Styela clava: one gene and its partner. The protein of the gene in region 1 interacts with the protein of each later gene in a pairwise test. Links are inferred from orthologs where the notes say so. Each region holds a gene or a part of one and is shown in the gene's direction. Other genes may lie near its edges.

What was found.
Region 2: the proteins of ligand of Numb protein X 2-like (region 1) and selenocysteine lyase-like interact in binary tests that used the Homo sapiens proteins (3 or more experiments, as listed by UniProt). The link is inferred for Styela clava from reciprocal best matches to the Homo sapiens genes LNX2 and SCLY.

What each region holds. Positions count from the first base shown.
Region 1 is NC_135258.1:3,213,770-3,230,944, forward strand, and holds the start of ligand of Numb protein X 2-like, read left to right. Parts: upstream 1-10,812; 5' UTR 10,813-11,260; coding exon 11,261-13,963; 3' UTR 13,964-17,175. Other genes in the region: uncharacterized protein LOC144411634, read right to left, coding at 3,788-4,939.
Region 2 is NC_135264.1:13,437,360-13,454,537, reverse strand, and holds selenocysteine lyase-like, read left to right. Parts: upstream 1-10,416; 5' UTR 10,417-10,436; intron 10,437-11,267; 5' UTR 11,268-11,279; coding exon 11,280-11,418; intron 11,419-11,991; coding exon 11,992-12,258; intron 12,259-12,899; coding exon 12,900-13,027; intron 13,028-13,886; coding exon 13,887-14,036; intron 14,037-14,356; coding exon 14,357-14,587; intron 14,588-15,038; coding exon 15,039-15,135; intron 15,136-15,256; coding exon 15,257-15,486; 3' UTR 15,487-16,163; downstream 16,164-17,178. UniProt on the Homo sapiens protein: Catalyzes the decomposition of L-selenocysteine to L-alanine and elemental selenium.

The sequences.
Region 1 (17,175 bases):
CTGTACCATTTGGTCATCGAAAGCTGTATATTTTAAATATAGGTGTCATTACTTATGATATGAGTGGGAGTTGAATAAATCAGGAATATTTTGTACATAAATAACATTTGAGTTTTATTTGTTTGTTAATAAAACATCTGATCACAAAACTGATCTGCGGTAAAATTTTACGAATGTATCAGGGGTGGGCAGGGCGGACTGACGGGCCATGTAAGTGTGACGGAAAAAGTTACTTTCAATGGACAATATTTACAGTGTTGCAAGAGGAAAAGTGGAAAACAATAGGCCTTGTGCCAAAACTAAATTTGATTGTACTGTAATGTCAACAAATTCCTTTGAGTTATGTTTCAGCTAAAACATCAAAATTTGGTTTTAGTTTGGTTGTTGCAGCATCCAACGGCCAGATTGAATTACCAACGGGCCGGATTCGGCCCGCTGTTTGCCTATGTCAGGGTATATAGCTATGTCATCATTGAAGGATAGATATCCCGGAAAATTCCCTTCTTTATCTACCACAGTCGTTGAAAAGATTCCCATATTTATTCCCGACGAGTCGACAAAAGACCACGGCCAAACTTTTCTGCTGCCCGTAGCGAGTTTTGATATTGGTGCCCCTTATTCCTAAGTTCAGAAATAATTTTGGGGCTAAACAAATTATAAATGTTGTTGTACATAAAAATAAATAAATTAAAGGTCAAGAAAAAGTGGAATGTTTGTGTTATTTATGTTCAAAATTAAATCATCAAACAGAGCAACGAGCTCACCCTATAACCCCTCTCATCTTAACGGCTGATTCATTTTTTTTTGCCGTGAATGAAACATTGTAAACACAATAATAAATCGAGTCACATAGTATTACAGACACACTATGTTTGGCTGCAATTGACGAAGAGTCGCGAATGACAATCAAGTCATCGACACCATAATTGCTGATTTCAGAAGCAGATGACGTCAAATAATTTAATTATGTTGCCTTATTGACGAATTGACGCCACGTTATAACTTACTTCGAACAATTAGTGCCAGCATGCTTTTCATGTTGGGGGTTGTTTCCAAATTTCGGGGGTGGCAGATATCTTGCTATTAAAGATAAAGATAAAAGTATTTCTAATTTATACAAATGTGTTATGTAATTGGTATATACCATACGCCACGTTATGGATATTAAAATGCAATTATATTCAAATCGGGAGTTAAAGTGTAGTGTCACATCTTAAAAATAGGACAGGGTGTAGGGAAATCACCGATTAGTGCGAATATCGTTAGAAGGACGAATGCGAGGATGAGATCGTTGCGCATGGAAGAGTCGATAAAATTGTTTATATTGAGGAGTGGAAAGCCTACGAGACACCGTGGATATTAAACGGAGCAGGACCATTCGATAGGTCATCACATCAATTTACCATATTCTCAGACCTTGAAATACCTATTATAAATGCCCGAAACGAGTAAGATATTTATTATCATGACACAAATCTTGCCTAGATTTCTACTAGTTGTAAGGTTGTACTTGCAACAAATGAATAACTTCAAAGAGAAATTGTCGAATATTCCAATTTTTGATTCTCCTGAAAACATATTGTTGGTCACTTAACAATTGCAGTAGCCATGTTCCCCAGAGACAACTATTACGCAATTAATTGCCCGGCGAAACTTGACAAGACGGAAGAGAGGACACTTGTGCGCTCGCACCAGCGCAGGGTTATCATGACGTTGTGACCTTTTGCAGAGCTTCACTCAAACCGCAGTTAGTTATAGCTGACCGAATTCTATTTCGGATCTCTTGTACGAAGCCGGTTAGGGTTTGGTTGGGAATGCAGATTTCGCTGGAAATTTGAATTTTCAAATTATTCCCAACCTGGCCCGATCCCAAACTGCAATTTGTTGTTTTAAAACGTTTTTTTTTTTTTAGTCATATTTCACATTTGAGGGGGGGGGGTCCAGTGATGGAATTCAATTTTTTTGTCAGCCGGTTCCATCGCAAAAGTCATAATTTTCACCCTGTTCTGTTACAAAAAGGCATTGACAGTAACCAGTAATGCTAACCGGTTCGCTGATCTCATAAAATTCCGTGAGACGGTTCTAGAGAACCGGCTGAATCCCACCACTGGATGGATCACGTATTTCAACCCCAGACTCACTGTCCATCTACAAACCAATCCTATATGAACCGCTAACTATATAGAAAAATACTAAATAATTCAAAATTAGAGGAATTTATTAAGGCTAACAACAAACAAAATAAATTCGTTGATAAATACATTTTGAGAAAAAATTGCAATTCATTAGATTTAATTTATGAATAAATGTTTAGTATATTGGTAAACGCCAAACGGTTACTATTGATATAAAACTAGTCTCTAGGAATGTCATCCACAAAAATAGACATCAGGCTTTGCAAAAATGTTGGGATGGGCCTAGAGGTAAGATGGGCCCAAAAATTCCACTTGGGTATTAACCCCGACCCGACCAATTGACTGGATTTGGAGGCCCGAGCCCGAAATTTCATATTTTATTTATTAAGAGTTCTTCGAATTCCACACATAGTTTTAGTATATATTTTTTATAAACATATATTTATTTTAGAAAAAGTCAGCGATAGAGAAGCCCAACCCGAACATAATGATTGATATTTCAGGCCAGACTCAGCCCGAATTTTGGGTCGGGCTTCAGAACTTAGCTCTAGATGGGCCTATGTTAGCGGTAGTTCATGGACTCATTGAAGAGGACCCAGTAACGGACCGGTGGTTAAATCCAAGAAACTTTGGCGGGGAATCAAACAATCACATTTTTAGAATTGCAGAGCAAGGCTGGTGGAATCAACACATACCGTATTTCCCAGCGAATAAGTCGCTTTTCTAGACCCAAATTTTTGGCATGATTTTGGTGGGGGGTCGTCCCATCATTCAATTCGTACCATAAAATACCAAATACGTTGGACGATAGCATCCCCACGTTTTCATCATTGCCGTGTTGTTTTAGATCGGTAATGTTCTTATATGGTGCGCTCAATCACGAATTAGGTTGAACACAATTAGATTGAAAGACAGTTTGAATTCTCGTAGTTGTTATGGATTGAATATTACTCTACAAGAAAAAATCATCATAGGCTATTTTAACCAATGCGCAAAGGCGGCGATCGCTCAAAAGTCTCTGCATGGTAATTTGAGACTCTGATGTTGATGCGATTTTACTACTCGTCTTATTATCAGGTTATATGCGAGAAGCCATTTTTTCAGGCTCAAAAACAGGCCTCGTCTTATTCACCCCGTAGACTTATTCGCCGGGAAATACGGTAATTATTATTAGATTTCTAAAAATAAATTGCATATCTCATTTAAGTACATAATACACAATTTTGGCAACATAATTAACTTTGTAGAAATCAATTCGTCGGCTACTGGTAAGCTGATACAGAAGCTCAGCCGTAATAGTGAATACAAAACCAAATTATATATCTGAAGGCATGAACTTGGCTGGTGGAAGGTGTGTAAATCAGGGATGTGCAACCTTCAATACAGGAGGTCCAGATACAAATAACTAGGTGAAATCGTGGGCAGGCTTTCTATAAGTTGTGGGCACAAAAATTTTGGGTATTGATCTTATGACATTCAATGTTGGCTACTCACAAGCTAACTGTTACGTATCTATGGAACAAAGCAGGGTAATCAGTCATTAGTGGTATAATGGCAAGCACTCTCGTGACACTTAGCATTCTGCACCAATCATCGAAATTTATAAAAATAAATTGCACATTTCAATTAGTTGTACAATTATAGAGACATAATTAACTTTCTAGAAATCCATTTGCCGACTTCTCAATATCTTTCCAATCATATATTCTATTAACATCTTTCTCAAAAAAATCAAACATTCTTTCATCATACAGTCCAAATATACCACCAGTATGTACAAACAAAAATCTATCTCCCTTGAAACGCTTTCGATTTATATTCAGCTCTGAAATTAACCCTTTAATGCCTTTCCCACTATAGACAGGGTCACAAAATATTCCAGTGGCTGCAGCCAATTTACGATACAACTCGTGGTCTTCAGGAGTTGATATTCCATACCCGGCTCCTTTATAACCTTCGATAATATCAACAATGTCTTCCGAGCAGGTCTCACTGCTCAATCCAATTTCTTCAAGCATAGAATTAATATGGCCATGAAAATAGGCAGCGTCGTCACAAACGGCCACTGCATGAATTTTAAGTTTCCCCCCAGTGAGATAGTTACCGATCGAAATGCCTGCGATTGTCCCTCCGCTGCCACAAGTAACAATAACATCGTCAAAATTATCTTGCACTTTTTGATCTAACAATTCGTTCCATGCATTGAGGTAGCCATGTAAACCCACACTATCCGAGCCCCCAACACAGATTGGATACGCGGGCTTTCCAGTTTTCTTTAAAATAGCTTCAGCTAAAGCCTCTTGTCTTGGTTTTAACTCTGTCTCGTATTTAGCACGTTTCGGTACTAAATATACATTCGCATTGCACATTTGAGATAAAAATAAATTCCCACTGCTTTTTATTGCGTCAACATCTTCCTCTGATCGTAGCAACAGATGCGTTTCTAGTCCAAGTTGAGACGCAGCAACCGCAGTTGCACGACAATGGTTCGATTGTAATGCCCCACATGTGATAACAGAGCCACATCCTTTTTGAATCGCATCTGCCAGTAAAAATTCCAGTTTTCTTACTTTATTTCCACTCAAAGCAGCTCCAGTCATATCATCTCTCTTCACAAATAATTTAACGTCCTCAGGTAGTCCCGGAACTTTCCAAGCATGTATGGGTGTCGGTGTTAACGCCAGTGCGGCTCTATGTGTTGGACATTTTTCCAGATGTTTGCACCATGAAGGCGGACTGTATTTGTATATTTCATTATAAGATACTCTACTCATTGCTACTAAGCATTTAAAGCTAAATTTCATCTGAATAAGAATAAATGAAATAGGTAAATATAAGTGCAATTGTCAAGGTTTGAACTAATGAGATTTTGCAGAGCCTGAGGCGAAATAGGGGAACACACACCAAACTAATCTCTGATCCAGTGCTTGTCAACCGAGTGTATAGTACAGGGGTTCCCAAGCTTTTTTCAGGACGACCCCAAAGACAACTTTCAAGTGTCCAGTGCGACCCCAGGTCAATATATATATTTTTCACGAAACTTTAGAGCTTCTTTCACTGGACTTTTGAGTTTGGTTATGTGGTGGTATTAAGTAAAATAAGCTAAAACCAAACAGTGATGTCATAATAAACACCTACATTTTCAATAACGAAAGCATAGAGCGATGCCTATAGGCCTGTTTTACATTAAGCCATGGTACAAACTGCTAAATTTAACATGGTTTGTCAAATCTTAGATGAGTTGTACATCCATCCTCTACCATACCTCAGCGACCCCATGACCTGGTTGCGACCCTACCTATCACTTCGACCCAATTTGGGGTCGCGACCCCTGGTATAGTTAGTAGTACATCACAGGGTGTACTATGTAGATACTCCTAATGTGTGGAGCACTGGAAACGAGGTTATTACCTCGCTCTGCACAAATGAATTGTGGAATCCAAGAGCAACATCCACATTAACTGAATAATAAATTATTGCATCAATATAAACACACCTTCTAAACATTGAGTTTTTATTTAATAAAAATGTTAGATGGGCAGGGTGTACCATTCCAAATGAGATAAATGAGCACTGCTCTTATCTCATCTCTAAAGTTCTGAGAGAAAAAGATGATTTTCATAAAAAACATACCGTATTACTTATTATACCAGGGGTGTGCAACCTGCGTGCCAAAGCAGCCTACAAGAAGCCTTGTGCGGCACGTGGAGAACAGCCAACTAACAATCACGAACTAAAATTTTGAACAAACTTTCCAGGCCACAATATGACTCAGATCAATGGCAAATTCAAGGGGGTCAAGCGTCAATTCCCCCTTATTGAAATGTAAAAAAAAATTTTTCGGTATCATACATCGCATGCACACTAGTACATACACAGCACCCTAGCTGATACGATCCAACTGAGAAATTAGAAATCTCAGAACCCCCCTCAAAACTCCTGGCAATGCCCCTGGCTCCGATATTCGCGGCGTAGGTATGTTACCAAGCTTTATGGTGACTCTGAAGAGACTAAAAAATATTTTATTTACTGTGAAATATTCATACTGGAAAATATTCAACAAGCTTACTATCCCGATTATTCAAAAATGGAAAACGAAGGCATTATTCTAGAGAAAAATATAAGGGATGCCATAAGCCCATAACATTGCATAAAATCTATGTTGCCTGTAACTAGAGAGGTACAAAGTATGCTGTTCATTAGCTATTTTGTGGAAATGAAACTCAAAAAAGTGCAGATAAGAATACAAGTTTTATCAGTTGATAAGATGAGGCAGAAATCATAAAAAATAATGATAGTACACAAATATTGATACACGATTATAGTAATACAAACACCTAGATTATAATAAAAATTCATTACTGAAAATATGAATATATAACCATAAAGAGAGTTGATTAGGATACTAACCATGATTTAGTGCAATAAGTCATGTATTGTTTTTACATTAATAAAAAAAAAAATGCTCGGTTAAACGTGAAGAGAATAAATCTCACCAAAAGTAAGGAAATTCATCAATTGGGCCCCACTGGCAATCAGTATCACTCAATACATACTCAAAATAAAGTTCAAATTTTTATCTGGCTTGTGGGAATCGAACTATTAAAAACACACTGAATCATAGTTTCCCTTGAGCAGCCAGTTTTATTCGCAGACTGTCTGGCATTTCTGGTGGTGGCGGGCGAGGTAAACGGAAATAAACTTTCACTGAATCATAAATAAACCACTGAAGGGCAGTGACAGTACCAATCATGATAATACGAGCTGTGAGACCTTTCCAAATTCCGACTGGCCCTAATTTTTTAAGAGCATCAAGTGGAGAGCTACCAGCGTCATTATTAAGTACAGACACAACCGAGTCAGGAGGATGGGACCCAATAGCGCAGAGTACACCTGCGATGTAACCAGCGACAAACGTAACAACCAGCTGCTCTGGCTTGCTGCATTCATCTCTCGGTTTTGGCACAACATACTTGTACATTGCCTCTACTGTTCTCTCAAAACAAGAGAATTTGATCATGGTATATGGAATTTGCCTCATCCAAAGTGGAGGTAAACCTTTGTAAAAGGCAGTAATACCCTCTTCTTTCCACATTTTAGGAAAAGCTTCACGTAAAGTATTTGCAAATCCTGGCTGAGTTTGAATTCGTACTTTACAAGCTTCCATCGGTGCCAAAGCTATATCGGCAAAAAATTCAGCAGAAGCACTTGCCGCCAAATATAAACTTGTTCTCCATAAATATGATTTTTCTTCACCCAATAAATTCCCATAAAAATTCTTAAAAACTTCATAAAATCCAAATTTGCCAAGTCCTTGCATTGAATAACCGATAAAAGTAGGTGCCCATCCTTTACCTAGGCCTCGAATGCCTTCTTCTTGTATAGAGACTCTAAAACCGCTGATAATCCCCCTGTATTTATCTGGCTCAACTTGTATTCTGCATTTCACCAAATCAAGAGGAACCATGGCAGTATGAGTTAGACCACAACTTAGAATCCCTCCGAAGCCACAGATGGCATAATATTTTGCCGATCCAAATTCACAACTATTGCCAGTTTCCTCTACTGATAGTATTCTTGTATCTGCAGGAACTTCAGAAAGTTCTGTGAATTTTGCCTTTTCCTGGCATATTGCTTTCATATTAGGCATGCCTAAGACATTCCCATTTAAAATTGAGTTGACCATATCTTTATTCCTGTATTCCGTATTTAAATACTGAAATACCAATATAGAAAAAAGGATAGATGTTAAGTTGAAAGGCAAACATAGGATTTTCATATTTATCTCAGCGTAGAGTGAACTGGAAAGTCAATAAGATTGCTGAATGTTAATCCAGTACCGTAACCATAGGCAAAGCAAAGTTTAAGGTGCATGTCATTTACTGTCTCAATTTCCCACAACTTTCACAAAAGGTTTCCGATTTTCTACAAGAACAACCACACAAACAAAATAACAGTAACTCTGTAACTGAGAATAACAGAAACTCTGTAACTTACCGTAACATAAATGTATGAGTATCATCGCCACTTATATATCTGTATATGCTGCCGATGTCTTCATTGTCTTTCTATATCGCCTTATTTGTGCAAGCCTATGATGTCATTCTGATGTAACGATGGTGCAATTTTGATGACGCGCGCCATTACGTCCTAACATACGTCACGAATTAGCGACGGTACTTTTCAAGTTCTTGGCGTTGAACAATTACCATAGCAGACCTGGGAGAATTGATTACTATCTTTGCTACACGACGTTCTGAACTTCTGACTAAAATGAAGTGCGGCTATACACGGATTAAACGCTATATGAAGTGTAAATACATGAGATTGCGACTGGGTAACGATAGTAATACACTTACCAAGGTACGGATGATTACGATACTGTAATTCACGCGTTTCGATTTGAAATGTAATTTGTTTCGATGGTACAGTATTATGCATATATAATAATTACGTATTATACAATATTTCACACTATCCAACACGGAATAAGTCAATCAATCAATCAATCGTTTATTTTGTCATCACAAAAAAACACGTTCAAACATAAAGTGACACGAGGAACTTATATGGTTTTACATAAGAATAGTGGTTATTATCGACGGTTACATATGGCCAATCCTATATATGACCCCCACAAAATTCTCAGAAGGCTGAAAAAGTCACCGTGCGATTGCATTTTGTTAAAATCACCGATTGTTTTTATCAGTGGGGCGTAGGCCGTAAACACCTTTACGTTTTTTTTTTTTTTTTTTGCCAAATTCAAATCCATTGCCAAATTGGATAAACCAAAACTATAATTTTTATAAAAACAATTTTACGTTGGTATTTATTCTCCTAAATCACAAATTGTTGTTGTTCCAAGAGCAAGATGATGATTGCTTTTTCGCACGGAATTTTGAGTAAACTGTAAAAAATGAGTTGTTATAGTGTATTCATCAGCGATGTGATGCTAAAGATGATAAAGGGTAAATAAAACGAAGGGAAACACAATGAGTTTTGTTTTAAGAGATCCGCGTAAATCGCACAATTTGTTTGGCTACCGTTGAAAATTTTTCAGCTTGGCAATATATTTTTCATAAAAGTACTGTTCACTCCCATTTATAAAATCGATCAATTCGGCAGTGGCAAACATTATAAATTTATTAATATGGTGTGGCAATCATGGATTAAATACTTTGCCCGTTCGGGATTTTAACGCAGACGCTTGGGTTTTTCCAACGGCGATATTTCAAAAATAATTTTGAGTAGCAGTCAGCGCTGAAAGAGAATAATTCAAAGTTGACACATCCCAAGGTTGCAAAAATTCGAATCCATCTATTCATAACCGGGTATAGTGTATCGCGTATTACATGTCCACAAATTTTCATAGTTTTTTAGAGTAGTCCTCCCTTTGTTTTACCGTAAGTCAACGCAAAGGCGATAATTATTCGCTGAAAAAATGTCTATTTTAAAGACTGGAGTAATCACGGCACTCGATTTAGAAGTTATTGCACGGGAATTTTTGAATTCCCATTTTGGAACCTACCTCATCATCATTCTCCCCGCCCCCCCCCCCATCATTTTTTTTTGTAATTCTGGCTACACCCCTATAGGGACCCGACACTCGAGTTTTTTTTTGTGCGAATTTCGTTCATGTAACGCTGGTCGGTTACGGCTTTTTCTATCATCAAGTCCACACATCTGAAAACAAATAACTGGCTTACTAATTCTATACCCGACAGGAACTGGTAGCTGGGCAAAAGGCCTCAAGTCAACTTTCTCATCTCTTGTATATTTATATTCTGTCCTAAACGATTTCTTTATGCACGAAATCGATGCTTGGAAAAACATTCATCGTGTTTGTCTGCTTTTTGAATTTATTTTTAATTTCGTTCAATCCCTTGGAAGCATTACTTTCATTATTGCTAATTGTTTTCAAATCTTTTCAGAGCTTTTCGAAAAATTTTGTTGATTTTGAAAAAATGTATTTTAAATACCTATATAAACAAGTTTTGTCTTCAGGGTTCTAGTCGGGACTGAAAACAAAGAACAGTTTTCGAATTACATTTTATTGAAAATTAACTTTATTGGAATAAAACTAATACAATGAAATATATTATAGTGAAAACAGGGAAGGGGAATTCTGATGTTATTTCAGGTTTCAGATAGTGCGCACGTCCGTCTTCCCACCGTTGATTTTCTACATTGTATGTACAGGTGCAAATCTTGTGGTTTGCGGCCATAACCGTATACGAAGTCGACATCTTATAAATATAATTAATAAAATTTAGCAAGTCATCGGCTGTTTTTTTTCCGCAGTGGAAAGATTATTTTTGATAGGAGTATTGTGAGAGGCGTGGTTTGGTTGATGACTTGAATTAGGCCTCAAGAGGTCGTGTGTGAGTCACCGAGAAATTACCTCCTCCCACGTACGACTCACAAGTTCGCCTTTTAGTTCAACATGGTTCAACCGCCTTAGTTAAGTTTTCTTTTTCATATTTGACTTCAACCTTCGAATCAGTAGACCCGGCAGATTTATGTAACTACTAATTATATTTCTAGAATGAGTACATATTGATGGTGTGTATTATGCAGTGTAGAGCAGACTATTATTTCCTTTAATGACGAGGAACACTTGAAGTTACCGGTATCTATGGATTTACATTGTTTACTTAGATACCGGTACCGCGATTGCGCGATACCGGTACCCCTATAAATAATGTTATCTGGAATGGCTGCTTATGGGGTCTGGTGTAGTTTAGTACCACATGTACTTCTAATTGGCTTGTGTCATCACTACGACGTTACTGTGACTTATCAAGCCCCTCCTGAACTAGATACAATTTATGCCAGTCCCACGATTTTTCAGTTTAAAATTTTTATTTTTTTTTAGTTGTGTTTTGTATTTATGGTATATTATTTCACCAATGTCTTTCATCTTTTTATATCTAACCATGGATAAGAATTCTGATATTTATTTTCATGTTTCTATAATTTGGATTGTACACAAGGAATTTAATTCTTGGTTGTAAGATAGAAAAATAAACGTATAAACATTTGTCTTTTTCACATCTTTCTAAAATTAGTTCCAACTGGGCTGTTTATTTTTTTCAAGTTATATATTATTATTCAGTAATCGTATTATGGAATACTCTTATCAAGCTCCTGATTGCTTGCCAGGACAGAACGATCTTATAGACTTCAGCTCAGATAGCAGCGTGGGCGTTCATAATCAAGAAGAGGGGGGTGAGATCGAATCCTCCAGTACTTTGACGAAAAATAGAAATCAAATTAATAGAGATGTAGTGGCTGTTAAAAGTGGGACTGGGGATATAGGGTTCGTCGCTGTCGGACGGCCGACCTCAGAAAATTCGATCTCAAAACAAAAGCATCGTAAAACACGATCGAACATCGAAAAAGAAAGCTATCACTCAGATTCGTCTCCTCGATGCCCTAGTAGTGGAATTGATAATCTCGGATACCAAACAATTTCAAGAAATGAATCGTATAGTTACGATGACACAGGACTTAGTTATTGCTCTGAACTTGAACGATGGGGAAATACTGAATTTTTGAACACAAATTTAAGTTCGTCTCAACCGGAGTATGTTTCTGTCGAAGGGGAACGTTATACTACAATCGATTATTCAAACGCTACTATCCAGCATGTCACAACCAATCAACCACGTAACGATAGAGGAGGACAATTTGTGGAGCTTCCAGAAACATCTGGACAGCGTACGCAAATTTCTGATACAAATCGATCGTCTCGTCAAGGACGTCAAACACCATCTAGTGATAGAGAGTCGTCCTATTCATCGCACTCGTCTCGTGGGAATTCACCAGTTGAAAACGAACCTAGTACTGAAATGAGGACATCTAGTGTCGAGAACAATGTAAACGAAACGACTCACAAAAGCACATCACCTGTACCTAAATCACCACCGTTATGCAAATGCTGTGGGCAGAATCACGGTGTTACGGAAAATCATGAATATAATTACGTCGACGAAGTTGATGAAGACCTGATGTGTGATATTTGTCTGCAACCACTGGTTGATCCCTACGATACAAAATGCGGACACACGTTCTGTTCTATTTGCATCAAAAATTATTTAAGAGTGAAACACATTTGTCCAGTAGATAGAGAAGAATTAACCAACACAGCAACAGACTGTTGGCAGTCAAGTCTAATTCTACGAAAACTAGTTAACAAATTAACAGTTACCTGTCCGCATGAGGAATATTGTGATAAAAAAATACAGCGCTGTGACCTTAAGGGCCATTTAAAGGAAATATGCCCAGGGGCCGTTTCACGGTGCCCTAAATCGATGTATGGCTGTGATCATAAAGGTCCAAGAGCTGGTATCGAAGCGCATTTGAAAATTTGTGCTTTCAAGGATAACAATGATAAGCTTTCAGATTTGCACCCTTTTTCGGAAGAAGTTGTCGTTGAATTGTTTCGACCAGAAGGTACAGCTGAGCTTGGATTGCTTATAGTCGGTGGTAGTGATACGCCGTTGCATTATATTATTGTTCAAGATATTTTACCGCAGAGTTTAGCGTTTCAAGATGGTCGTATTCATGTTGGTGACATTATAATGGAGATAAATGGAGAACCAATGTTTTCAGTAATGCATGCTGAAGCTCGTGCTGCGCTTACGAAGCCGTCTAATTTAATGAGGTTTATGTTGTTACGAGATGTGGACAATGAGGACCCCAGTGACAGCGTTGCTTCTTTAGTCAGAAAACCAAGCTCTTCTGCATATTATGAGGAATGTGTTGGCCTCATCAAACCTCCGCTTGAGCAGCTCGGGATTCGTATATCTTCTAGTGAAACCGGAGCGAAAGGTGTTTATATCATTGAACTAATCCCGGGTCAAGTTGCGGAATCGGACGGTCGTCTTCAAGTCGGAGACAGAATAATGAAAATTGGGAACACCGAAGTCGGTGATAGTACACCAGAACAAGCTGCTAGAGTTATCGGAAGTTGCGATAAAGAAGTAAAAATACTAGTTCGCCATCCGCTGGTTAAACCTACTATAGTCTGTAACGAATGGGCTCATGATTCAATAATACAAAGGCAGAAAAGTGCTTCAAATGATGCATCTACTTCAATGTCAAAATCCACGAATCCGTATTCGCCGCAGCAAAAGAAGTTGTCAAAATCATCCCACACGAAAAAAATAATTTCTGTCACAAAATCACCAAAGGAAAATTTAGGAATCATTGTTTCAGGAGGAAATGGGAGCCCTCGTGGAAATCTACCAATATTTGTTCAAGATGTTCTTTCCATGTCAGTATTAGGTAAAGACAAGCGAATACGTCGTGGCGACCTCCTTTCAGAAATAAACTCGATACGTTTAACTGGTCTCTCTCACACTCAAGCAATGAACGCATTACGGGAATCAGCTCAGCAAAGAGAAGTTACTCTCGTTGCTTACGAATTAGAATATGAAGGGAAAGCTGAAGACACAGCTTTATGGGATGAACTGACTTCTCTACATCAAAATCCAAGTAAATGGGCTCCATCTTGGAAAATGTGGCTCGCTGCTACACATGAGTTTTCATCGATACGCGAGGTGGTTTTACGGAAACCTTCTTCTACAAATTACGGATTTAAAATCACGGGAGGATTTACAGAAGAACATGGGCCATCCCCGATTTTTATTACGCATATTTCCAAAAATTCAAGCGCGAATAAATTCCTGAAATGCGGGGATGAGATTGTTGCAATCAATAAAAGACTTGTGAAAGATATCCCTTATCTACAAGTCCTAAATATTTTGAAATCTGTTAACTGTGTTTCGATAAAACTTGTATCATGGCCTGGTAGTCTTCATTAGAACTCTTACTTTTTTTTTATATTTTATATTGGTTAGTACACTTGTTCTTTTGTGCCATTGTTAGCTGTGATATTTATTCATGTAATGGTAAGGATTGCAAAACAAATCCAGAATTCTGCATTGCCAATTCAATTTCTTTGATTTATAATGATTTCTGCTAATTCTATGGTGACATTACCAAATTTAGAATTTTGATGTTCTTAAAAAAATATATTTGATTTTGGCTATCTCTGAAAATATAAGAGATACTAAATCTGGTAGAAGTTAGATCCTAAAGTTACATGTTAGAGACTACAGGTTCAAAACTCCGCAGAAACTTGATCTGATTTTAATACCCGACACCCCACCCATGAAATTTTAGTTGCCATTGTGCTTACGCTATAGCAGGCTAAACGAGACAAAAGATTTATTCGCAGAAACTGTTTATGGTATTTGAGGTTTTGTTTGGCTGTGGCTTGTGAGCATTCTTTGGTTGTGTTAGTATACAAAGTTTCAAAGCCTGAGGGCCAAAAAATGAGCCTAATACTTGAATCTATACAGGTTTAGGTTTATTCAATTTAAAATTATTGACTTTAAGAAAATTATAAAATCTCTGAATACCATAAAAAATCAAATCATTGTTTATCTTACCTATCCTGCATTTCCAAATTCAAACTTGTCGAATATACACAGACTACTATATGTTTCTATTGCATATTGGAAAAAAATAATTTCCGAATACTAGAAATTTGGTGTCGGTCACTCACGGTTTCAAATTTGTGAACTTCTACTATGCAGTGTGTAGATAGAACTTGCCACTTTGAGTGGATTGTTGAGTTAAATCAATGAAAATTAAATATTTCCTATCACTGGTCATGAAAGGGCGCTCCTAAGAATATTTTTGTAACATTTATGTGAAATAGAGGAAAACAACATAAAATGAAGGAAACATCATTAACTCTGTTTGGCGCCCTTTTCCTCAGTTTCAAGTTGTTGTCTATTTGCTGTATTTCGTTTTTTCAGTAAGTAATAAGATTCTACGAGTACCACCAGACAGTACCAGTATAGCACATAAGACTTTATTATCTCTATCTCCCCTGGGAAGGTATTTATAACATTTATGTGACATGTAATGAGTTATTGACTAAAATAAGGCTCATCCTTCTCTACCATATGTTACCTTAATTAATTGTATCATGAATAATTTAAAAAGGAAAATTGGATGTTGTAAATAATGTTAACAAAAATGTTTAAAGCAACTAGCATTTCACTGTTTCTTGACTTATGATTTATTTAAATATGGACACCCTTTTGATTGGATTTATTTTTCCTTTTATAATTTTTCTTTTGCTATATGCTATTCCTGTTTGTTTTGTTCCTGCTTTCGTCTTTATTTCCTATTCTCTCTCCACTTCATAGAACGGTGGTTTTCAACCTTTTTGGTACTTGCAACTTACAATTTCTGCATATGAATTCGTTGTAAGGCAATATGAATAACTAATTGAAGTAAGACTAATACTGGGAAAATAAAATGACTTTTAAAGTGTAGCAAGTTTAATTAATAATAGTGCCAAACCTAATAGCTATATGATTTCCATTGAATCATGGTTGAAAACCATTGCTCTACAGCAGGGGTGGGCAACTTCTCTAGTCGGCGGTCCAGATGTGGGAAAATGAAGTCCTCGGCGGGCTGGATTATAACATGAATAGTATTCAATATCTTAATCACATATATTTATTCGCTAATGCAAGAAAGAAAATTATAAATCGCGTTTAAAGTAAGGTTTAAACTTTACAAAAAATAGAGACCAAAAAACCAATAATGAATTTATCATTGTGTACTAAAAGTGTAATAATGTAATATTATAATGTACTGAAGTTCAGACAGGGGGCCGGTCAAAATCTTGGCGCAGGAGGACCCGGCCCGCGGGCCGTATATTGCCCACCCCTGCTCTATAGAGTATTATATGAAGGATCTCTCCTCAGCATTTGAGCTGGTTATATATGATTATATGCTTGATTTTGGGAATGAATTTTCAGTTATAAATTTCTTTACGGTATTATTTTTATTTATCCTGCCATTCTGCTATTTCTGACTTTGTTTCTCTTATATTATACTATTCTCCTTGCTTCATTTCTTTCAATAAATTTTTTCACTGCAATTTATAAGTACTTTATATTTATATTAAAATTGAAACTCAACTTGTAGTTTCCCAAATAATTTTTATGAGGTTCTATCTATCCATATGTTGGCTGTAAGCTCCCATCTGCTTACTGTGTGCCATGTAAACAGGACCATTTAGTCAATTTACAGTATATTTGATATTTCTTATTTAAAAATGCTATTTTAAAATTTATTCCCAATAATAAATTATTTGGTTCTGGACATCTCTGCTTCTAGACCTACCTATAGTGACACAAATCAAAATTATCAATATCTCTCGCATTTTTAATAGATTTGTGGCCCCCGGAAAATGTGGGACATGGCCCATTGCTGAGCTACAACGCTTTCAGGTAGGCCACAAGCATTTAAAATCGCTAGAGATGTTAGGAATTCATTTTCATTTGTGTCACTATAGTTAATTTTGATTGCAATGGCAGTGTAAAATGATGGGTCATTCTATCCTGTAATTAGTACTAATTACTTATCGATCTTAAGATCGGTAAGTATGTTGATAGGTATTTGTCTGTCTGTTTGTCTGTGTGTTAGATGCACGCGATATCTCACAAAAGCGAGGTTGAATCCGCTCCAAATTTTGCATGTGCATTCATCATAGCTCGGATCAGAAGCCTATTGATTTTGGATGGATTATGTCTTATAATTAGCGAGTCATTAAGTAATTAGTGATGGGACACACGGTGTCACTATGGAGTAAGACCACTGTTTTGCGGGATCCCCTAACCTTAGATCGATACGTCTTCGGTTTCTAACCAGTATTCTAGTTTGACAAAATTATCAATGGAGATACTAGCACCACAAATTTGACTATAATTATATAAAATTAATTAATGTGTGTGTGATCCTAAAAAAATTTACTGCAAATATATTGCTTAGAAACTTTGTGAAAAGGTTTGAGTTCGATTATTCGGCGCCATGGTCAAGACATTGAACTGTGTTGTATTGGCATTACATTCGGAAAAATGTCCACTCATGGTGTAATAAATTGGCCAAGCAATGCAGAACGAAAAAAAATTCTGCCATTAACCATAGCAGGTCCTAGCTCAGCAGTAAC
Region 2 (17,178 bases), on another chromosome or scaffold:
TCCAAGGGTCTCGAATCAAGACTTCGAGGATCTAAAATTCGTTTTAAGCTACTCAAAGTTGCTATGTATGATACAGAATATTGCTTTTTTACATTTCAAAAGTGGGCTTCCGTCCCTTACCCCCTGGCTACGCCCTGCTATCGGTCCAAACGCCGTTTCGAAGCCACCGCAAATATCCGTAGCCGAATGCACATCACTTCTATGCAACACAGTTGGTTCATAAACCCCACCACAAATTTATCATTGTCTTTCAAATTTTTGTGTTTTTCGGTGTTTTCTAAAAAGCCAAGCACAGATTTCAAACTTTATTACTTATTGATCTCGATCGGTAAGAATGTTGATAGATATTTGTCTGTTTGTTTGTCTGTTTCACTTTCGTATGTTACGCGATATCTCACGAGAGCGAGATATGTTCCAAATTTTGCATGTGCATTCATCATATCTCGGACCAGAATCGTATTGATTTTGGATGAAATATGTCGTATAATCAGCGAGTTATCAATTAATTAGTGATGGGACACGTGGTGTCGCTATGGAGTTAGAGCGAAGGAATCGAAACCGCAAGATCGATAAGTCGGCGGTTTCCGATCGCTATCTAGTTATTACTATTTTATTTCAAATTTTTACCGATATACCAGCAACAGAAACATTTATAAAAACTTTTTTTTTCTTTTCAGCGTCATTGGGGAAGCTTTTCTAGAAAGAAAAATAAATTCGACAATAATTTGCTAATTACGAATTAATAATATATTCTGCAGCAATAACATTCGATCATTTTGTAAGTTTTGGATTTGGAGCATGTCAGCATCTTCAGAGAACAGTATTAGAACAACATTATCCAAACATCCATACGGATACTTGTACGTCTGTATATAACTTTCGAACGTCATATATGAACGCGTCCTCCTTTTTTGGGAAAAGCGATTTTTGCACTTTGATTGATTTAGTATAATTTGTATGGGAAACAAACACGGTCTGGGATTACCTCCATTTCATTCGTAGAATTCTAATACAAAGAGGAAACGTCAGACATAAGTAGTACATAAGTTTATAAACACAAGCGCCATACTTTATATGTACCAATCTTTATAAATCCATTTAAAAGTGGCATACACTTGGTAACGGGCGAGTTTCATAATGATGGCCCACTATACTTGACTTCCAAAATAATTCAGGTGGGTAGAAAACAGATTATAGGCGTTGTTGTACATGAGTATGATAAACTGAAGGTCAATAAGAGTGAAATGTTTGTCAGTGAGCCAGTAGTTTATTTTCACATAACGAAAATACAAAATGTGCGAACAGAATTCAGTAAAATGGAAGAAAACTGTATATCAGTATGAAGGTACCATGGTAATCCAGTAAATGGTCATCGAGCAGCGTCACCCATAAAAGAGTCTAACATCGAGTCATACTACAATAGGAAAAGGAAAGCCGAATAATATTCACCAACAGAAGGCGGCCTTTAGGTAGGTTTAAGCGACCTGGGTATTATTGTATTATTACTATTTTTAAATCATCAATATAAGCAACAAACTCAATCTTATAACATGCTGACACTCCCCCGCCCGCCACATGTTATAGGATTTACATATTTATCCCAAGAAGAGGAAAGCCGATATGACGGCTTAACCGTATGGCGAACCACGGCCTCTCGCCCGATTACCATTCCATGTCGGCTAAGGGATTAGTTAGTAATTTGTTTTCGGAAACATGGACTTAATGGGGGAGGAAGTCGTAACTGACCAGCGGTTAGGTAATCCCTTTACGACATTCTGCTATCCGACATTCTTATACATACACCATCACCGCAAGTTTACGTATTAGTCAAACACACGGATGTGTTTTGGATTTTGTTCTAAACACAAAACAATCCAATAAGTAATTCTCATGTTTTCTGATTAAAACCCTTTTATCTAGAAAGTTCGTTCCAAGAAAGCGACGTGGTGTGAATAATAACCGCAAAATCCTTGTTTTCTTATCAGTTTTGTTTTTCATTTCAAGTAAAGCCTTCCAATTCATTGTCTAGTTCAGTGGGCCATAACTTAGGCTGGGCATTTCAAATTCAATATTTGAATCGAATAGTAATTATTAGAATCGATTCAGAGCCAAATTTCGAATCGCCGCCATTTTGTTTCTTTCTTTCCACCAATGGTCGAGGTGAATTTCTCAATTTCGCAACGGAAATCTGACATATAAATGAAGTATTGGAGAAAGCGTGGTTTTGATTGTGTGTGAACGCTGTATTCTGAATGATATATTCTATGTTTTCAGTAATTTATGTGTCTGGAAGACCCAATACAATGAGAAATTTACATATACTTAGATATCTCCCAAGTATTCAAGAATGGGGGCCAAAAATAATTATTCGATTCGATTCTGAAATCATCAGATATTTGAAAATGCCCAGCCCTAGTCATAACCTTTTTTGACTTGTGGCATTTCCGGATGCTTTTAGCACTCGTGTTTGTCATTACAGTAGTATTTATAATGTTATTTTTATTGGTTGATTTCAAATATCATTAGGTCCCAACGATTAATGCTCAAGAGAGTGAAAACACCGTGTGAAATACCCTTGTCAAGCAATCAAACTGAGAAGAACAAGGGAGTTTTCTTGCAAAAGAAAAATCAGTTTTGTGGCAGCATGGTGTCCTCCCCCCCCCCCCCCCCCACCCCACCCACTGCTCTGCTTCCCCTAGTAGGTACCGATTGGGAACCCTAGGTCTAGTTCTTTTCTACTTTTGTAAAAAAAAAACACTCAATTTTTAATATGTTATGTCGGCTTTCAACGTTGTTTCGATATCTCTGTCGTATATAAACGGGCGCGTTCCCGTGTCTGTCTGTGTGTGCGGGGTGTGTGTTTGGGGGGGGGGGGCTATCTAATTTTATGTATAACATCACCTATAATTTACCAAATTATTTTGGATGTCAAGTATAGTGGGCCATCATTATAAAATATTGATTGTCGGGTGAGCTTGGAAGCCTCGGATAGGAATACGTTGGTAGCGTGGAGTAGTTTTCATATAGTTTTGTGACTGTGAGTTTAGATTGGTCATCATCGTCTCGGGTTCGGGGGGTTCTAAACCAGTGCTCGTCAACCGGGTGTATAGAAAACCCCAGGGCGTACCAAGTGTTATATGTTAATCACTGATATATATACCACATCAGGCCATTTTAAATGGATTTATAAACATTGGCACATATATAGCATGGCGCTTGTGTTTAGACTTCTACGAATGAAATTAAGGTAATTCCAGATTCCGTTTTTGTTTTCCATACAATTTATACTAAATCAATCAAAGTGCGTTCATATATAACGTTCGAAAGTTATAAAAACGCACAAGTATCCGTATGGATGGATGTTTGGATATTCTAATGCTGTTCTATGAAGATGCTGACATGCTCCAAATACAAAACTTACGAATGCTGCAGAATATTTTATTACTTTATATTTAGCAAATGATTGTCGAATTCATTTTTCTTTCCGTTGACTCATGGGTTGCCTATCCCTGACTCCCTGGAAAGAAATAATAAGTTTTGTAAATGTTTCTGTTGCTGATATATATATCATCGGTAAAGGTTTGTAATAAAATAACAAAACTAATAAAGTTTGAAATCTGTGCTTGGATTTTAAATGGACACGGAAACACACAAAAATTTGAAAGACAATGATAAACTTGTGGTAGAGTTTATGAACCAATTGTGTTGTAGAAAAGTGATTTGCATTCGGCTATGGATATTTTCGATGGCCTCGAAATGGTGTTTGGACAAATAGCAGAGGATAAGGGACGGAAGCCTCCTTTTGAAATGTGAAAAAGCATCTTTCTGTATCATACATAGTAGCCCAAAACGCTTTCTAGACCTTCAAACTCTTGAGTCGAAACCCTTGAAAACCCGCGTTTTTAGTTTCTTTAGCTGATATGGCCTAACTTGAGAATAAGAATTTCAGATTCCCCTTTTATCTTTGAAAATTCCTGGCTACAACCCTGACTGATGGTGTTTATAGAAATTGAGCCACTTGGTAATAATATTACAAATTTACCTTCAACGCATAACCACGTTGATGGATTGCAATGATGGCCGAATACACATTGACCGTTTTCCCGACATGCTGCATTAAATATAAATTAGAATTACATTAGAACTCAACCACAACAATAAGATAAATATCGGTAATGCAGAAAAATTAGTAATCGATAGTTTTAGCTGATCTGATATCAGTTGATTTTTAATTTGAATAAGAGTATGTCGTTTAGTAACTTCCTATAGTTTTATACAGATTGAAATTTTGTTATCAAGTTTAGTTTATCATTTTGCATAGAAGTAATCTTCATGCTAATATAAATAGATTTGATGTAGAACTTTGCTGTAATTTTTGTCAAATAATTTAGGGTTTTGGTAAATAAATAAATTTAAACTAACGTATTCCATAGATCTTTCCGTATGTGGCACCAAGTAACACACAGATTACAGCAACCAACAGCAGAATCGATGCAAGAAATATCTTCATTGTGACTTAGAACTGTTCAGCTAGTTTATCTTAAATTTAGACGAAACAAGTAAGTTAATACATAATATAAATAAAAGAATATAAACAGGACGGTAATGTTTCTTATTAGAGAATTTTATGCACAACATCTCGCCCAGTTGATATCAAATTTACTTAGAAACAAGAGAACGATGCTCAAATATATGGGCACGGAGTAGTACGGAAATAAAAAATACCCTTTTTTGAATATAGTCTTCTATCGAAAAATACAGTCTGATCCAGTAGTAAAAAAGAAAAGCGATTTTTTTCAATACGATACGAAGAAGAAAAACAACATGATAACAAAACGACCCAAATATCCACTCCGTGTCCAATAAGTCTTATATAGTTCAGTTACTGACTTTACTGTTACCTAAATTCCGGAGCAGAAGGAAATGAAATTCAGACAGTTTCTAATACCTCCGATTTGAGTTTTATTTTATGTCAAAAGAAGGGCGCGGTGTCTTAATCGTTGAAGTGTTAGAACTCAAATTATTGAAAATTTGCCATAGAAACAGACAAATTTTATTTAATAAATTAAAAAAATTCTAAAACTCTACGTTATGAAATTTTTATTTTATTTATGTTGATATAAGAAAAATGACATTGAATTAAGATTTCGGTTAAAAAAAATCAATAACATACTGTAATCAGTAATACACTGTCTAAGTAACCATGGAAATTACAGTGCGACGCGGTATCGCAATATTTCTTCCTATCCACCGAGCAAACTAATATTCCGTGCTCGATGTATCAAGAATTTATAGTCTCCTTTACTCGTTTGAATGGTTTCACTGGTTTTCACATGGTTTTTAATAAAACGAGAGAAATGTTGAAGAAACGATGGTTACATAAGTGATTCCCAACCTTTTTCGTTACAATCCTCCCTTCGCCTATTTTTATTCTTCTCTCACTTTATTAAACTACTTTATTTATTCAATCTTTAATGTAAACTTAGTAGTGTTATGCGCAAGTTGCATTACCGCGTTTGTACAACTTAAGTACAAGCAGTTGTATTACATCAAATACTATGAAAAAGTTCCTCCACGTTTGGAAAAGCTTGCTTTACATAAAGAAAATTTGGTACTCCTGAAGTATGCGCACCAAGACGTCGCATAACCTGAACCCTAACCTGGTACACAACCTGTGTTCAGGTTGTGCGCCATCTTGGTGCGCATACTTCAGGAGGTCCGAAAATTTATATTAGATATTGACACCTTTTGAATCTTATCATGTACATAACTGTACATCAATCAATTAATTTTATTTCGGTCGCTCTGGTATAAAACAAAACAACAACAAACGAACAAACACAAAAGTGACAAAACGTAGAGGACCTGGAGGACGGGCATAACTTAAAGACAAAGTTAAAAACGTGAAAATACGCGTCCGTCCTCATAAAAAACAGTCAAATAACAAAAGTAAATAAAACAAAAATACACTATACAGAATCGGGCAATAACTTTAAATAAATCGAATTAATTACGCAAACACTGATCAGAGGAAAAACAAGACAACACTCTATAAAAAATAGAAAAATTGATAGATTTTTTGTTGGCACGGTTGTGATGTGGTGCAATATTAGTGGGAATAAAAAATGTTACATAAAAATTTTGTTGCAACTATATCGAGAAATATTGATGCATTGCCAAAAACACAAATACGACTAAATTTAAGATTACAAGGTTTAAAAAAACTTGATATAGCATGCGAGTGAGCTTCTATAGCAATGTCACACGAAAGAATATTGCAAAAATAATGTGTAATTGTGATAAGAATGTGTAACATCATGATAAGAAGTTGAATTTTCTAACCATTACCACCGTCTACATTTATTCGACATTCCTATACATACACCATCACCGCAAGTTAATGTATTAGTCAAACACACGGATGTGTTTTAGATTTTGTTCTAAACACAAAACAATTCAATAAATTAACTTATTGTTCTCTGATAAAAACCATTTTATCTAGAAAGTTCGTTGCGAGAAAGCGGTGTGGTGTGGATAATAACTGCAAAATCATTGTTCACTATTTTTTTTCGTTTTAATCAAAGTCTTCTGAATCATTGTCTAGCTGGGTCCTAACCTTTTAAGGCTCGTGGCTCATTTGCGGATGCTTTTAGCACTCGTGCGTTTGTCATTACAGTAGTATTCATAGTTTAATTTTTATTGGTAGATTTCGAATCCCATTAGGTTCAAACTCAATTCATGCTCAACTAAGTGAAAACACCCTGTGAAATAAATAACCATGTCGAGCAATCGAACTAAGAACAAAGGAGAGTTTTATAGACTATTATATGTTGAAGCTTCAAGGATTCATATTTAGTGTAACGCCACACGCTAGCTTTTAAGTATTTTGAATATGTATGAAATAATGCTAAATACCTGAAACAATATCAGTCAAGCCTCTGTACCTTCTTCCAAAAGGAACGAAATTTCTCCCTGGGAAGGAAGTATTTCTTTAAACCACACTGCATGTTTATTTATTGTTTATTGAATGATTTCATCTACAATATGTCTCGCCTATCATTTGTGACGCAAGTACTGAATTTCAAAACACGAAAATATCAAATGTGTTTACTCGATAAAGAAATTGTCAATTTACTTTCAACTGTCAGGCACAGCTTGACTAAATATGAATCCCTAAAGCATCAACATAATTATGATAGAAACACATATTTTTTATGCACAGTTAGGAGCAGTGGCGTAGCAAGACTCTCGTGGGCCCCCCCGCAAAAATATTTCGTGGAAATAATCCTAAAAACTCTCGGATATAAGCTAAAACAACGTTTTTTTTTTCGTCGAAAAGCATAACATGTCGTTATTAAAAGGCAATGGTAACCTAAAATTTGCCGTTTATATTGGTTACTTTAATTTTTTTTTATACGTGCTTCCCCTTCTGCCCATTTCCTGCGTTTCTGTGAGCCACTGAGAGGTTTTGCTTTCGACATCATTCTGACAACCTTCGTAATTTTGGCGGTGCGATCAAACCCAAAGACGCCGAAAATCGACGACTCCCTGGCATTGCTACGTAACAAAACGATTTGAGCAGAACTAACACCAACGTTATAAGATGTGCCTTACTGGTTTTTCAATTCAACTTTTGGTTTTGCGGCTTTAATTTCTAAATTCTAACCGCGTGGGCCCTTTTGCGCTGTGGGCCTCGCGACCGCGGGGGTTGCGGGGGTGGATGCTACGCCACTGGTTAGGAGGGAATAAAAAGATCCAAAAGGTTCCAATATTTAATCTAAATTTTCTTTATGTAAAACAAGGTTTACCAAACGGGGAGAATTTTTTAATAGTATTTACTGTAGTACAACTGCTTGTACTTAAGCTGTACAAACACGGTAGTGCAACTTGCGCATAATACTATAAGGATACATTAAAAATTGAATGAAAAAAGTCGTTTGGTCCAGTAATTAGAGAGAAAAATTCTAACAACAACAAGTATATACAACAAAACGGTCTTCGTAGCCATTACAAAAGAAAACTGCCAACACATGTTTGGTTGGAAGGAGCGGGATATGTGATTTAGGAATATAATTTTGGACGGATTCTAATCTAATCATCGACCTCAAAAATATTGCTTTTTAACACCTTCTTTTTATCCAGGTATTGTTCCGAATAGTATTTTCCAGTTGAATGTCATGCTCCACATATCCGGGTTCAAGAAACTTGCAAATTTCATTCCGGATTTTATTCGAGTTCCGTCTTCCATTATGATGATGTCTGAAGCTTGATGGAAGCCATAACTTTATCCATGTTTATAATAAAGTGTGATACGTATTTGTTAATTGACGTATTTTTGAAGGTTTATTATTTTCGCTGAAAGTGATAAAAGAAAAACATATTAGGCAGCCAGAAACACCTGATTTTGTTCTTAACTAAAGGACCAATTGAGGGTGCAGTAAACATATAAGTGGAAGCAAGTACCCTAGTCCAAATGGGATATAAATCCCTTTTCTGCATTTTTATCGCAAGGATATACAAAATATGTATAGTTGTTGTATCGTAAGCAAATATCATAACAGCGCTATTTTAATTTATTTGATATTATAGACTCTGATCCAGCTTGAAAAAGAAATTAAAAATCTACGAAGAGTAAAACTCGAGACAGACATAACACATTCAAATTTGAGTGATTTCTTTGCAAAAGTAGAAAAGAAGGTGTAGGTGGGTGGAGTGGGTGGGTGGAGGCCACAGTGCTACCACAAAACTGATTTCCCTTTCACAAGAAAATAACCCGTTCTTTTCAGTTTGATTGCTTGATAATATTATTTCCCATGGTGTTTTCACTTTGTTGAGCTTGAATTATTTGAACCTAATGGGAATCGAAATCTACCATTAAAAATAACATTATAAATACTGTAATAACAAACGCACGAGTGCTAAAAGCACCCGGAAAGGAGCCACAAGTCAAAAAAGGTTATGATATGACTAGGGCTAGGCAATAAAATAAAAATAATTAGTACCCAATGATTTTGCAGTTATTATCCACACCTCATCGCTTTCTCGGAACGAACTTTCTAGCTAAAATGGTTTTAATCAGAGAACAATAGGTTTATTTATTGGATTGTTTTGTGTTTAGAACAAAATCGAAAACACATCCGTGTGTTTGACTAATACATGATCTTGCGGGGATGGTGTATGCATAGGAATGTCGAATAAATGTAGATGGTTGTAATGGTTAGAAAATTCAACTTCTTATCATGATGTCGCTGTTTGTGTTATTTTTATATGGACCGCAGCGGTCTGGAGTAATAAACGAATTGATTTATTGTTATTGAAAACATATTAAGATCTTATCTATTCAATTACGAGTTGTATATTTGTATTAGTACAAACTGTCTTGCTACTTTAATGAAAGTTATGAAGTTTAATCTCGGTTAGGTATCTTTAAGTTTTACATTCGTGGTAAATTTCAAGTAAACACATTTGATATATTCGTGTTTTGAAGTTTAGTGCATGCGTCACAAATGATCGGCATATTGTAGATGAAAGCCATGCAGTGTGGTTTAATTAAGCGACCTGGGTGTTATTGTATTATTATTTAAATCATTAAACTAAGCAACAAACTCACCTTCACAACGTGCTGACGCCCCCGTGCCCCACATGGGAAGGAGCCCGTTTATAAACGGCAGAGTTATCGAAACAAGATAAGATAAGTTTATTTTGACTCCATAATCAGCATAAAAGACGATTACCGGTAAATGATTTATAAAAACAAAAAAATAAAAACCGATTATGAAATCAGTAGAGCAAACAAAACCTTGGTTAAGTTTTAAAACGTACAGTACAACAAAGTTGAAAGCGGCTCAACAGCGGAGAAACATTTACTCCAACTTGAATAAATTGGGGTCATTATTTTGGTTGAAGTAAAATATGATATATCGTTTCGATTGTATTGAAAACGTTGTGTGAAAATAGTGAATTCAAATTCCTATGTGATACAAGTTGTTAATGGTGTTAAAGACTAGGCTAGGGAATCACACCGCAAAAATAAGTACGAGTATGGAGCTTTTTCAATAAAACAAGAGAGCTACGCCCAAATATATGGACACGTCTGTTCGCAGTACAGTACGGTTTACCGTACCGTCAGATCACAGTCTACAAATATATTCACACCAAGCGAAGCAGTACAGTAGGACACAAAATGGCGTCCGCAGAACGTTTAATGACGTCATAGCAAACAAAAACAAATCTCACAGAGCTAACAGAAATATTTAAAATGAATAAAAGTAATAGCCTTCTACCACTTTAAATTTCAAAGCAATTGGTCCAGTATTCAAAACGAAAAGCGATTTCTTCAAAACGTGTCAAAGAACAAGGACATTAAGAACAACAACAACATAATATTGAAACGATCGCTATGTCCACTACGTGTCCAATAAGTTCATTGCGATCAGGTAAGGAACAAAACATTCGATAAAGGTAGTTCCTACCTAATAGCGTGCGGTGATCAAATTTTTTTGCTGTTGTCGTTCTGTAATTTTCATTTCATAAGTTTGATGGACCACCACTAATATCGTTTTAGTCAAAATGGCACACGAGCAGAAAAAGGTCGAAAACTCATGCACTGGGGTTATATGAGAAGGCCGCCAGATGGCACGTGGGGTATTCCCCGAATGATCAAGCTTATAAAATTTTAAGATATGTGTACAATAAATGCTGAAATGATGGTATTTATACGTGTATAACTCCTGTGATTAGTGATGATGTAACTGTGCCGATCAACTGTGTTTTATATATTAATAAGAAATATTGTTACTATACATTGCATACAAAAAATTTAAGATGTATGCACAATAATTGATTATCTTATATGATGAATTATGATTGTGTACCGTATTTTCTATGATTAGTGAATAATAATGTTGTAGATGTACTGATCAACTGTGTTTTATATATTAATAAATATATATAGAAAAAAAACAGGCTTATAAAATTCCGAAAATATTGAGCACGTCATACTGTCATATCCCAAGAAGAAATATAGAGAAATTGAGAATAAAATTGGGGTTTAGTGTAGTTTCTTACCACAAGTACTTCTAGTGGTCGTGGTGACGTAATTTTTTGATGGCGTAGTCAGGTGAGGGTTAGGATTGACATGTGAAAAAATTGTTATGCTACGCCCGCTAGAAGTACTTTAGGTACGAAATTACACCAGACCTAAAAATTGTTATATAGAAAAAAACTTGACATGATATGTATCGTTGATAGCTAGGATACATATTCAGACATAGGTAGCGATGAACGTCAAAAACAATATCAGTAACACAATTTACTTGGATTATAATGCAACTACTCCATTAGAAGATGAAGTATTAGAGACAATTACAGATGCACTGAAAAATACATGGGGGAATCCCAGCAGTTCATATCCTGAAGGTGAGAAAATATAGAAGTACTGAAGTATGGTTTTAAAATTTTGAATGGCCTTGCAGCCTTGCGTTTCAAAACAACAGTCAGGAGGCTGGAGTTTATATCTTTACATATATTCATGTGAGGGCTCATTTAGTTTTGTACCTACAGACCTAAAGTACTTTCAGTGGGCGTAGCATGACAACCCCCTGACTATGCCATACAAAAATTATGTCACTACGACGTCACAATCATGTCATAGAACTTGCCAAAGTATACCTACGATCGACCGAAATGGCAACTGCGCTGACGATGAAGAACTCAGTAACAACAGTGATCTCGCTCGTATCGCTGCGACGAGAAAACAAGAGAATATCTTGCTCGATTTCGGGTGATCGTCTTCGCGTCTTGGATGACAGTTCGAATGGCCTTATCACGTCACTGTGACATAGTCGTTCGTTTCGGATGGCGCAGGCAGGTGGGGGTTAGGAACGACATATTCAAAAATTGTTATGCTACGCCCACTAGAAGTACTTTAGGTACGAAACTACACGAGCCCCTAATTGTGTCTAAGCTTTCTTGTTGTTCCTAATCATGCAGGTGAAAAAGCAAAAGCCACGATTACAACAGCAAGAAAACAAGTTGCAAGATCAATCAATGCACAATCATCAGATATAGTTTTTACATCTGGAGGGACAGAAGCTAACAATTGGGTCATTGCTACAGCAATTGAACATTTTGAAAGAACTCAAGTGAAATCTCAACACCAAGGAGAACACAGGCTCAAACCTCACATCGTCACGACAACCATTGAACATGATGCTGTGACATTACCACTGATCAATCTAAAAGACAAAGGAGAAATAGGTATTCTGCAAAATGGGTTTCATCCAATTTTTATCGAGTTATTTTACATTCATCATGTATGTCAGCTGTTCCCAAAAGGTGCGCTGCAAAAATTAACAGAATTGTGTTAAACATAACTGACACAGACAAAAAATTTGGGAATCGCTGATGTATTTCATCTGCCTCGGTATTTGTTATTCATGAATTATTCTTATTTGAATAGCTTCACAATATTTACTCTATATAATCTATATAAAAAACCACTGATACTTAGCATATTTCTGATTTAACTTCTGAACTTGGCAATTGTTAACAAATTTAGAAGTACTATTTGGGATTTAATGTTGGTTTTGTCTAGTTTGTTTCATTGTAGATAATCATAGTTGGCTCATTCAATGCAAATTTTCAAAAATTTTTACTATATGAATCACCGCAAATCAGAAGGTTGGAGTTGTTTAGATGGGATCTCTGTTAATTCTATACAACGAGTAATGCTATATAATTCTCGTTTGTATTTTACTCGAGTTGTTATGCCATCATGTTAAATACATATATAAAACTGTGGAAGTGATAAATTGTTACATATATCTTTTTTTCTTTTTTTTAATCTTTCACTTTTATAATTTTATAATTATAAATTGAAATATTGTTATTTATTTCAGATGTTACGTTTGTGCCTGTTGATAAAGAATGTAGATGTGTAACAGTTGATGATATTGTTAATGCAATTCTTCCCAACACTTGCCTAGTGACTATTATGATGGCCAATAATGAAACTGGAGTCATTATGGTGGGTCCTAATATATATAAATATATAGGGTGTCCATAGTGTCTTAATTTTTTTTTAAATTGCAAAGGGAACTTATTGAAACCATATATTGTTTTGGTCCTCACAGATGTATTGAATGAAGTAAAAATACTTAAAAACATTTACTGAATAAAAAAACAACAATATTCAGAATTGACTTCATAATTGAAATTTGACTTTATGGACATCGCGTTCATTCTTGCTCTGCCAACTATGATCTTGGGAAGAAATCTTCATTTATGGGATGATTGGTTCAAATCGTATCTTAATATTTTTAAATTATTATTGGTCTACATTTATACACAAATTAATTTTCTCTCCCACTGCAGTTTCAATTATGATTTATAAAAATTGTTAGCCCATAATAATAATCTAAAATTTAGACGGCAAAAACTTCATTTAATCTGTCTACTTACACTTACATTATAAATATTGTAAAATGTTCTCTACATTAAACTCATTGGTCAAAAAGAGGGATGAAATTGCAGTATCAGTCAGCTTTTGGATGTATCCCTGTGCTGTGTTTTTTTTCTCAAGCGGCGCTTATCCATGCCTTTCATCCGAACAAGACACCATAGCAGCCATCTATTTCTAAGGATATGCTACTATTATTTGCAAGGACCAGAATCTTTCTAGTTTGGCATTGCTTAACCAATTTATCAACTCCAGGGTGAGGTGGAGTGCATGAGGTTTGAACTCGAGATGTGTAATATGCGATGCCAACACAGTAAAGTCTAACGCTTCAACCGCTAAGCCATCTTTTTTTCTATTTTTCAAATTTACTAACTAAACACATCTACTACCTATGAGTTATCAAGGACTATGTTTTTATAATTTCTAGCCAATCAAAGAAATAAGTGAAAAAATTTCAGCTATGGAGTCAGAATCATTGAGACCATTAATACATACAGACGCTGCGCAAGCTCTCGGAAAAATATTAGTCGACGTAGAAGACTTGGGTGTTGATTATTTAACACTGGTTGGACATAAGGTAGATTTAATTATATTGTTGTGTTGTGAATGTTTACAGATTTAACTAAACCCTGAAAACGAATGATTTATGTCTAAACAGTTCAAAGAAGATCTTATATGGCCGTGCTTGATGACGACAGCCACATTTATGGTCACATTATGGTATTTCTCATTTTGCTTTAGTAAGGAAGATAAGAAAATTAGTTGAAGGGCAATAACAGGCTCTATTCTAAATGCTTAATTTTGATTAATAATTAATTTAAATATGAAACTTTTAATTTTATTAAACATGATCTCAGCATCACAACATATATTGTAATGGGGATCATTTTTTTTTAGTTTTATGGGCCAAGAATTGGTGCTTTGTATGTACGTGGACTTGGTGAGGGTGGAGCCCCATTATACCCACTGTTTTTCGGTGGAGCTCAAGAAAGAAATTATCGCCCCGGCACAGAGAACACTCCAATGATTGCCGGACTTGGTAAAGCAGCCATGATAGCAAATGATGATCTGAAATCTATTTCTGAACACATGAGAGAAATCAGAGATTATTTGGAAAAACGATTATTGGTATATTGTTTTTTTTTAGTTATCAATATAACTGTTCTGTAGATTGTTAAAAGAATAACACCATGTCTGTAAATTGTGATGTTTGGACTAGAAATTACATTTTTGAATAAAGTGGAACTATTGATGTCTTGTACTTTATTATAGCTCCAAGGAGCATATCTTAACTATTACCTAACCTGAGATGGACCGGTAGCCAGATGAATACCATTGGTCTCCTGTATGATTATACCATGTTTTATCAGCTTCCCTCCCCCTTCCCCCAAGATAAATAAAAAAATCCTACCTTCATTTATTAAAGGGCAAATAATATCACAACTGTATTTGTGATGTTGCATACTCATCAGTATTTATCCGACCTTTTACATAATTTGTATCAGTATTTTTTATTCATAGGCGTAGCATGAATCATGTATTAAACATGTTTCATTTTATTATACAAACTTTTTTTCAGGCAGAGTTTGGTGATAGTAAAGTGAAATTGAATTGCTCTTTAGCACCAAGATTACCTAACACATCCAGTGTTTCATTTATAGGACAAAATATGGAAGGTAGGTGAAGTTCTTAACAAAGGCTGAAAAAGCATCCCATTATAAATTACCAATATATCAGTATGACACGAAGTGTATATATGGGCCGATACTATTCATTCTAATTGATTCTTTATTTCAGGATATAAAGTACTTCAAAATATCAAAGGATTCGTCTGCAGTACTGGTTCAGCGTGTCATTCAAATGAATGTAAACCGTCACAAGTACTTTTGAATTTCCATGTTCCATTTGATATTGCAACTAACACAATTAGGTTATCCACAGGACGTAGCACAACAAAGGAAGACATTGACGCTGTCGTGAAGGAGCTCAAAGATGTAATCTCAAGTTTATCTGAAATTGCAATATAGTCACAATTATAGATTATGACAATGCATTTCAGACATGCTGTCAGAAGCTATTGTGGTGGTCATGGCAGTTTATTGGACTTTTTGGTTTTGGACCATTTTTGGGTGGTTATCGTTGTTTTTTAAAAATTGCTTTTCTTCCAAATAATGGATGATTTGTTTAAATTTTTAGTACATAAAATGGAAAGAGTCGTCAGAAGGATATGATTTTTATTTTTTGTATAATTTCTCTGAAAATTATGGGCCCTATAGATTTTCTAATTGCTGCTTTGTATAATTAAGGGTGCACATTCATGGTGGATACAGTTCCTTTTGGCTTTCATTAAATTATTTTGCATTTGGCTGAAAATGTGCGTTCACTGTGGTGGCCATGTGTGTTTTATCATTGCTGTCTTGTCCGATTGGGTGTTCAGAAGATTTTCATGTGAATGCTGTAGTTGGGACAAACCTTTAAAGTTTGCATTTCATAGTAAATGGACCGTTTTGTTAAAAGTTCAAGAATTTTCATTACTTTTCAAATTCAAGTGAATGGTGCTTTAGAAATTTCGTGCAATGAATTTAAATGAATGCTCTTTGGTGAAAAGTTCATTCTTCCTATAACAGGAACAAAATCACAAGTTTTATTTTTATTAAGTGCAATATAGATTGTAATAAATATATATTACAATACCATAATAGAATTGTGTATAGCCATGCATTGGACGTGAATCTTCTACATACAGTTGTCGAGTCTGTGAATGTAACGTGATTAGGTTCTAGCAGACTTATGTTTAGTCAGTACCGGTATTGCTGTGAAAAGAAAGTTCTCATTTGAGTGAAATTAGGATTTTCACATTCATCCCAAGGAAGATGAAAGTTAATGAGGCTGTTTAATTATACTGTCCGGTTATCAGTTTGTTCGGTTTAGTCGTTTTTTGAGATACCTGGACTTGATGCCCAAGTGTTTTTGGACCACCTAGGTATCTACAAAACGCTGGATGCTGCTGCATAGAGCAAAGATAGCGGTTTATAGGCACTTTTCACAGCGATAATTTTATGGCCGTTTAGAGATTTCATTTTATAAATGCCTTTTTATATCAAAGCGCGTGAGAAACGATGTGCTGCAAAAGTATAATATGATGCTCGATTGGAACTTTTGAATGGCGCTGTATGCCGCATTCTCAACTAGACCTAATTAATAGACGAGTTGATCTGATGAGCGGCGGAATAGAACCAATTGTCAGCTATGACTTCAGCAAAGATAGTTCAACTAGTTTGCCAACGCGGCGCCCAATGCCATGTTGGAAAGAAAAAATGTAACTGTGGTGCGATTCAGGTTTGAGCGAATCCGTTCTTGTAAAGTCGTCATAATCATCGAGCCCGTTTTTATATTGTCGTCATAATTAGCGAGCCCGTTCTTGTAATGTCGTCATAATCAGCGAGTTCGTTCCTATAGGGTCGTCATACTAGCGAACTCGTTCTTGTAATGTCGTCATTATTAGCGAGCTCGTTCCTAAAATGTCGTCAACCAGTTCACTATATATCCTTCGGTACAGAAATTATATATTCATCTTCTTGAATCTAGTCAAAATGGAGTACGGAACTTATTTAGTAAATATATATATTATATTTCTGAATATTGTGAACAAATGTTGCCTTCTTCCTTTCACGCACGTTACAATGTGTGACGTTATTGAAAGACTCGTTGTGTGAAAT